Linked DNA regions of Oryzias latipes. The protein of the gene in region 1 purifies or fractionates together with the protein of each later gene. This does not show direct contact. Links are inferred from orthologs where the notes say so. Each region holds a gene or a part of one and is shown on either strand. Other genes may lie near its edges.

What was found. Proteins that work in one complex are often made in the same cells at the same time.
Region 2: the proteins of cpsf2 (region 1) and sympk purify together in Homo sapiens (co-immunoprecipitation; 8 studies listed by BioGRID and IntAct, with this or other methods). This does not show direct contact. The link is inferred for Oryzias latipes from reciprocal best matches to the Homo sapiens genes CPSF2 and SYMPK.

The regions. Positions count from the first base shown.
Region 1 is NC_019882.2:5,327,409-5,331,526, reverse strand, and holds the start of cpsf2 (cleavage and polyadenylation specificity factor subunit 2), read right to left. Parts: upstream 2,804-4,118; 5' UTR 2,644-2,803; intron 2,280-2,643; 5' UTR 2,262-2,279; coding exon 2,113-2,261; intron 596-2,112; coding exon 436-595; intron 323-435; coding exon 217-322; intron 133-216; coding exon 3-132; intron 1-2. UniProt on the Homo sapiens protein: Component of the cleavage and polyadenylation specificity factor (CPSF) complex that play a key role in pre-mRNA 3'-end formation, recognizing the AAUAAA signal sequence and interacting with poly(A) polymerase and other factors to bring about cleavage and poly(A) addition.
Region 2 is NC_019879.2:16,691,414-16,695,724, forward strand, and holds the start of sympk (symplekin), read right to left. Parts: upstream 2,802-4,311; 5' UTR 2,538-2,801; intron 2,331-2,537; 5' UTR 2,293-2,330; coding exon 2,230-2,292; intron 1,770-2,229; coding exon 1,704-1,769; intron 1,593-1,703; coding exon 1,539-1,592; intron 1,441-1,538; coding exon 1,367-1,440; intron 1,271-1,366; coding exon 1,144-1,270; intron 1,047-1,143; coding exon 797-1,046; intron 688-796; coding exon 517-687; intron 430-516; coding exon 190-429; intron 1-189. Other genes in the region: slc35f5 (solute carrier family 35 member F5), read left to right, coding at 3,024-3,082, 3,853-3,994. UniProt on the Homo sapiens protein: Scaffold protein that functions as a component of a multimolecular complex involved in histone mRNA 3'-end processing. Specific component of the tight junction (TJ) plaque, but might not be an exclusively junctional component. May have a house-keeping rule.

The DNA.
Region 1 (4,118 bases):
ACATTTCTCTCTTGTGGTTGAAATCCACAGCATATACAATCTCCTCCTCTCCATCCTTGACAATTTTCCAGATGGTTCCTCCAATCATGTGTCCAGCTGGAAGAGGAGTGATGGAAAGACCATGGCCTTTTCCTAAAAACCAAGGGAACGGATTGATTAAAAATACACACATTGTTAGAATGGCCAAGTTAGAGCAGTAAAGTAACGGAAACTCACCTTTCAAATTGACAATCTGAGAGTATTTTAACTGCTGGATTTTGTCAAAAGCGCTGTCGACATCATCCAGGGTGAAAAGTGTGAAGTCTTCACTGTTGTTTCGAGACTAAATGGTAAAAAGCAGAAAACATTTACAAAAAAAAAGCAGAAATTTCAGGCCTATAAATGACCTCATCTTTTATCCATTAGCCAATTCTAAAAGTCCCTCTCCTGCTTTACCTGATACAGATCATACATGAACATCTGACCCATCTTGTAGACAGGAATTGTGGCATAGATGGTACAGTTGAGGCCCAATTTGCCCACGGCATAAGGGAGGGCTCCGAGGTGAATGGGGTCAGGGTGTGAGAGAAGAACTGCATCAACCTGATGAACATAGCTGCCGGCAGAAAATTACACAACAATGGGTTTATAACAGAAATATCAACATAATCAGAAAAGCCTCTCACAAAAAAATATATCATCAGCTAATAAGTCCATGATTAGTAGCAATTATTTCATTATAGACGTGTATTCGGATGTATATGCGTATGTATATATATTTTCCAATCAATTCATGACTAATTATCCTATCTATCTATCTATCTATCTATCTATCTATCTATCTATCTATCTATCTATCTATCTATCTATCTATCTATCTATCTACCCAGGCTGTGTCCCACCAAAGTGGGGTAGCCTAGACAGGGTATCCATTCTTACCGCCCTCCTTCTCTTCCACAAACCCTCCTCCTTCAGTGTGTGCGTGTGTGCACGTGTGTGTGTGGGTATGTGACTGGTTTAAGCCACACCACACTGCACCAGGGTCAGCTGCACAGCCCAGTGTAGGCACCTCCACAGCAGGGCCTCAGCCAAGGCTAGTTTCCCCTTGCCGCTTCATCCCAAGACCAGACCTCTACCACGCCCATCCATTCATTCATACACAAACTCTCTCCACCCATCCCTGTCCTGAGCAGCCTCTCTCCCCTGCACCACAGTCATCCCTCTTGCATTCATCGCTCTTTTTACACCCTCTGTCCATCCCATTCGCGGTCTTCCTCTCATTCTCACTCCACTCACATCAGATTCGTACACCTTTTTCACCAATCGCTCCCTTCCCATTCTTTCAACATGTCCAAACCATCCCAGTGCCTTTTGCTCTGATCTATAAGCCAACTCTCGCATCACACCAGTTCTTTCTCGGATTACTTCATTTCTCACACGATCCATACGTGTCACCCCACACATACTCCTCAAACATCTCATCTCAACTACATTCAGCTTCCTCTTTTCCACCACTTTCAGACTTCATGTTTCAGCCCCATATAACGCTGCAGGCACCACCACACCCTCATACAATCTCATTATGCTAAGTTAGATATATCTACGTATAGATCTATATTTCTGTTGTTTCTCTTCGTTAGTTTGATTTTGATTAAAATGAACTATTTCCAAATACACAATCCAAATGTTTACAACGTGATGTGGATTTATCCGCTCAAATGTGCTTAAGTACTGTCAGATCTTCCCGAACGACATCACAATGAACGATCAGACTGTGTTTATATCTTTATATACATTTTGCATGACCTATTATCAGAATCAAATCTGTTTTGAGGCACAGTAAACATTTGACAATACTAGAAATTGAAATGTCAGCTGCAAAATCCAGAATACAGCCTAAGAGAAAAACAAACAAACAAAAAACACAAACAGATTCAAACTTTTTTCCAGAAAGGGGGTTGAGGCTTAATGGTCCAAGAGGAGATGCTCTGGTACAGCAGGTGAGAATGGATTTGATGAGGTGGTTTAGAAGTTCAACAACAGCCTCAAAGGAAGGTGGAAGATCTTCAGCTCCCTCAAGAGACTCTGAAGTATATGCATGGGTGTAAAGTTCTTATTTACTATCAAACTCACCGCTTCATGGCATCAATGATGTCCATTGAAAAATGTTCGTCCCATCCACAGTCCAAGAGGATGCGAAATTCATCCACCTGCAGGAGATAACAGAGGGCGGACTCCTCCTGAACCCCTGACACGGCCGTCAGCTTTATAATCGAGGTCATTTTTCTTCACTATAAACGCTGTGAAAAATAAAAAAAGATTAGCACAGTGCCCTTCCACCGACCTTTGATTAAAACAAGCTTGTACAAAAAACCCGTTTACGTTAATTACAACTAATATTAGGATCAACAAACACGGTATATAATAGGTGTTATAAATTTAAAGGAAGTTTAGTGTGGCGGGAATTAAACACAAGATGCGTAATTAAAATCCCACAAATTAATGGAACCGATAAGAGACTTTGGTAAAAACACAAATAATAAATAAAACAAAACAATGTGGTTGTTAGCTAAAGTTAGCACGGTCGTTAGCTAGTTACCCGGCAAGTCCTTTTAGCATGTTAACGTTACTGGTTGTTCACTGCAGTTTCATTGTGTGTCATACCATTTAAAGTGGGTTTGAATTAGTTATCCTTCCTGAGAAAACAAAGTAAATTAACCGACTACAATTCCCAAGTTAAAGCATTTTCTTTAGTAGCTACTGTCTACAAAACATTAATGTGGTAGACATTTTTGCGCCAGCATCACGTGACACAGGTCAAATGAATGTACCACTAATAGGGGTGTTGCCACAATATAAATTGCACCAAAACAACGCCAAAATGTGTAGTTTTTAAAAGATGCGGTATAATATTATAATTCTATTCTATTATTCTACAGTATGTAACTTTCCCTTTTTGTCATGTATTAGCTTTGCAAGTTGGCTTTCACGCGCTGATCCGCGTCGTTGACACTCAATTGGTAGAGTCCGATGTCCTTCGCTTGGCGAGTCGGTAGCTAAAGGCCGCTGGTTGATACAAAAATAAGGTAATATTTTTTACAATGGTCATTACATTATTGTTTTTTTCAATATATTGTTTTGTTTAATGCTGTGTTACATTTTGGGTAAATAAATAAGCAATTACAATCATTCTTCTAACAAAATAAAATGTTTGCTGCTAAATTTGCTAACTGCTACACAGCACTGTAACTAATTGATCCCTAACCAATGTTTGTTAGTATTATTTATTGTTTTTAGCCATTTTTTTTAACTCTGAGGTGGCTTATTTTTTTTGCCGTTTGTAACACTTCTTTCGTTCTTATTGGTGTTATAAGAGTCAAGTTAGCTTAAAATTAAATGGATAAACTTGTCAAAGGAAGGCAGCATTACTTTGTGTAACCTTTTTTTTTCTTTCCAAAATATGGAAGCCATTCAACGTCCTTTACAGAGATTACATACTTTTGTAGCTTGAAGGAGAATGAATGATAGCAAAACACAGTTTAAACGAACTAAATGATGAATGCAACTGGGAGTGCTGCATTTCAGCAAACCAACATTAAAGAACAACGGTTTCAGTTGTTCGTGACCTGATCTACTAGTAGCTGGTGCATAAACAGCTTAACATCAGAGGTCCAAAAATATCAAGTCCTATTTGTTTTTGGTTGCTTGAAACAATTTGATGTATACAACAATTTTTGTTGACAATAGAATTTAAAAATATACTTTTATGGGTTTTTAAAACTGTTTATTGGAAATCCATGTTGCTATCACCCTCGGTTATGTTAGATTTTATTGTGTCTTCTAATCTGCCCAAATTTACTTTATTCTTAATTTCAAAGCCAAATAAGTGTCATTACTGCAGTTTAATTGACATCAAATCCTCCATCTCAACTTTAAATGTGTGTAAATATAATTTTTTGTTTTATTCTTTTAGGGAGCCATGGTGAATCCTGCAGCCCGCCGATACTGGGTACATTTATTTGTTCCCATGGGCTTTGTGATTGGCTGGTACCTTGATAAACTACAAGACCAAAAGCTGACAGCTTTTAGAAACAAGAGTGCATTGTTTGGAAGGTGAGGAAAAGAAAACCTAAATCATG
Region 2 (4,311 bases), on another chromosome or scaffold:
GTGATGCTGCTGCAATAGAGACTAACCTGTGCAGAAAGAAAAACTAAGTAAAGCAAAGTTACAGCCTCTGCAAGTGATGGCAAGAAAACAAACACTCGTAATCTTTCAACAAGTCCTTTAAAGACTGTTTTTTTTTTATAAAAATGTTATTTTCTAAGGCAGTCTGCATTTTTGTGGTGAACTACTCACCAATCTTGACCTTCTTTCCCTCTGTGTATTGCTCATAGCGAGGCCTCTTGCGAGGCTCTCGTGGTACAGGAGTGTTTCGAGTTATCTCAGTCTGAGGCATTCCCAGATCCAGCAGCAAAGTGCTGATCTGACCCTGGAACTCCACACTGCACGGATGTTTGAGAACTGCCACCAAGTGCAGCTTTAAGTTTTTTCGAACACTGCTAACCTGAGATTTGGCCAGAGTGGGGGGAAGGTTAGCTAGAAAAAAAGATAAATATTAATGATTGCACCTTAATAATAATGTTAAGGGGATAATATATATTTTTTTGACTAAGAAGCACTCACCGTGGAGGGTCTCATATGCTTGCACCACCTCTGACATGAACATTGGTCTTTGACGGGCAATCGTTGCCAAAGAACCCAATGCAGTGGTGAGGTTAATGCTGGATATAGCTGGGTGGACCATGAATTTTAAGAGCTTTTCCAGTGCACTCTTTCCTTCTTCACACAAAGTACCTGTTGATTCAACAGAATGTAATAAATCTATCCTGCAGTAAGAAAGATTTTAACATGCCTGTTTAAAAAAAAAAAAAAGAAAAAAAAAAGAGAGTTCTAAAATCTTTACCGTAGTGAATGTACGAATGGTCTTTGGGAACTTTGTCAAGGCTAATGTCAGCATCCTGGCGTTTGGGTACATCAGAGTCAGGTGTCCGCGGCGAGAGAGTGATGATTAAAGATTCTGTGAATTTGATGCTGTGTGTGCGAACACCATCATTGTCGGAGTCCAGCAAGGCCAACACTTCCCCTTTCATTTGAGTGATCAAGTCCCAGCATGCCTCCTGCATTTCTGACAGTGTTTTTGAGCTGACCAACCACTGGCAGAAAAGAAACAACAGAAGATGTGGGAACATAAAAACACCGTATTCCTATTATTTTAGCAGGAAATTATGCGAGTGACTTTAAGGTGCATACCTGTAATGTTACTTTATAGAGCTGAGTGAGTGTCAGAATGGCTTTCTTCACCACATTTACACTTTCATCCTTCAGCAGCATGTTTAGATTGGCGATAAGTCTAACAAGGAGCTCATTGTCCCTTTTACTAGTTGGGAAATAGATATAAAAAAAAAAGAGTTTCAATAAATATACATACATTTAAAAGTGTATAAGATGTAAAATGTTGACACAAACAACTAACCATGCTTCCTCTATAAATCCAATGACAAACTTTTTCACTTCTATTGATTTGTCGGTCTGAAACGCTATTATTTCCTGTAAAATAGAATTGGCAAGATACAAGAACATGACTGGGCCGATTTTAACTTACACGCTTACCATTCCTTTGCCATGAAAGGCAGGTGCTTACTTACATCCAAAAAGTTGTCAAGAAGGGACGGATCCTTGTTGATGATGAGCTCTTGAACCTAAAGGAAATTCAAACGCGTGACTTCAAATTCTTACAACCACCTCATCAGCACCTCAGTCGGTGCTGCTGTGTAGCAGTCATCTAAACTGCACAGATTTACACTACCAACCTGTTTGAGAGCAGTCAGCTTTTCATCAGTGGGTATGAGAGAAGCTTGATTCAGAAGCTCCACCACCTGAGAAAAGAAAGAACCAGAGTAAGTCTCTACAACGCTACAATAAGAGGCTAACCAGCCAAAAAATATTAGCATAATTTCTACTATATAGCATGTTTGAGCCAAATGAGGTGTTCTTAGCTATTAACCCCAGACAACTGCAAATGTAGACTACAGCCCCATTTAGATTAAACTGCAGCAATTGTAAATATTTCTTATATATTGCAATTTATCAGAACAAAATCGATGGCAGATTAAAAAATAAAGAATGTTTAGATAGCAAGATCAAGATTTAACTTGCATCACACAAAAAGCATTTAATGATTTGTTGTGTTTCTAGATGTATATTTTAAGACTTAAAATGCTTTATATGAACAATTTCAGATTAAAATATTTCTGTTTTAAAGTCTGCTACCTCCAGATTGTGTTGTTGTCCCTGAGATTGTAAACAAATCTTTCATCTTGTGCTAATTGTACAGACCTTTTCACTGGTGGTCATATCGACCCCTTTCGGAGTGTCCTCCGCCTTAGAAGAAATGTCCATGTTGCTGATGTTCCAGTCAGTAATAATCTTGCATGATCCTGAAAGGAAAACAGAAATAATAATAATAATTTAGAGCATACATAACAATACGAGAATTACGCATAACATCTATATTTTAATTCAAATTACTGAACGTTTTAAGTCAGACTACAAACATTCGTATGTATTACAGAAACACATATTCAATTGATAATACTTAAATAAACAAATTTCAATACGCAAGTCAGTATTTTTTTCTAACTTACCTACACGATTACCAGAATGATGAGAATGAATCCAGTTAGTTAGCTCGTAACATTAGGTTAGCCAAAACGATAAAATAATAATCTACTTTACTAAGCCAACTGCGTTATAGATACACTAACTCTTGTATTAAACGGGTAATTACAAATATGATCTATTAGACAACAAGATTTGCCTTGTTTTAGTACTTATTAAATATATGAATTAACTTTGCTAGCAAGCAAACAAAGCTACCGCCATATTTCATCGAAGAAGCTATGGTACGGTTCTTCTTCGGCTGTTTTCGGATACTCAAATAAAAGCAGCGCCTCCTGCTGGATTTGTGTGCCTCTAAGCTATTTTTGTTTATTTATTTTTTAACTATTAATAAGAACACTAGTATTGTTTACATCACATGGGAAACAAAATATGTGCCATAGACACATTTCAAATGTTTTTAATCGATCACCATTTAACTACAAGTCCCATGAGGCTTAGCGGGATAAGTGATGTCACCTGATGCTAATAACAAGACAAGGAAGTGCTTATGTTTACAACCGCTGGAGTGGTAAAATATTCTCGTTTAAAACGTGTTGTTTTTTAGAAACAGTAATGTAAAAGATCAATCGGACATCAACTAATGAAGAAAAGTGAATGAATACGCCTCGCATTCGGGTGAACACGCCGCTGTTATTGCTTTTGTTACTTTGTTTGTAGGACATTTTACTAGCTCTTAGTTAGCTTGGAAAACAGGCAGCTAAAACGTACCACTGCGAAGCTTGTTTTGGATACAGCTAGTAAAAACTGTGCTTATTTTGTTTTTAATATACAGAACGTCGTATCGTAATAAATCAGTTAATTTTACATCTTTAAATTGCAGACGGTTTCGTGCTCATAGTTTTGATTCTCATTGGGACCACTTATGTTTTACATTCATTGCCACATGAACATGCAACAGAATTTTTGTTTAAAGAGGCGGAGGTCTAGTAGAAAACACGCACATCATCACTTGTAACACGCGTTTATGAGTATTGTTGTTAGTGATGCTTTACAAGCGTATTTCCTGCAACGTGTTAGTTAAGTTAACCACGGTCTTCATTGGAAAAACCTGTAGGAAAGGCCTTTGACTGGTTTCCCAGTCTTAAGGAACTTTTTTTCATTTTTACCTTGTCTTAAAAGTCTATATGAATCTGTCATGGTATATTCTTATAAATTGTACCTTTAGAGCAATGTACAGTGGCATTGTTGCCTTGTCCCTCCAGCAAAGCATACAGTAGAATAAAAAGAGGGAAAAAATATCATATTCGTTTTCCCCTCTATGTCATGTGTCTGTTATAGGGTCTCAATGGAGTGGGTTTTCATCATGAACCGGATGAGCTCTCAGGGAAGCTCTACAGCCCAGCGGAGGAGGATGGCCTTAGGGGTGGTGATACTCCTTCTGGTGGATGTCATCTGGGTGGCTTCCTCCGAGCTAACCTCAGTAAGGACAGTCTGTCAGCTGTCTGTGGGTTGTCATTTAGTGTGTAACAAAACTCTACTGAGACAAACACACAAGAACGTCCTCACAGTATCTTAACAAAGTCTTACAGGAATTAGAGTAGTTTAAGTTCGAATCAGTCAAAGTTTGGCAAATCCAAACTGACTAAGCCAGTTCCTCGAGTTGACTCAAATTCTATTTGTAAAAAATGTATTTCCAAAACATCTGTATGTGCATTTCTTCTGGCTTTTTACAGCATAGCTTCAGTAAACATTAAAGATTTGACATTGATGAAACAGACAAAAAAAAATATATATGGA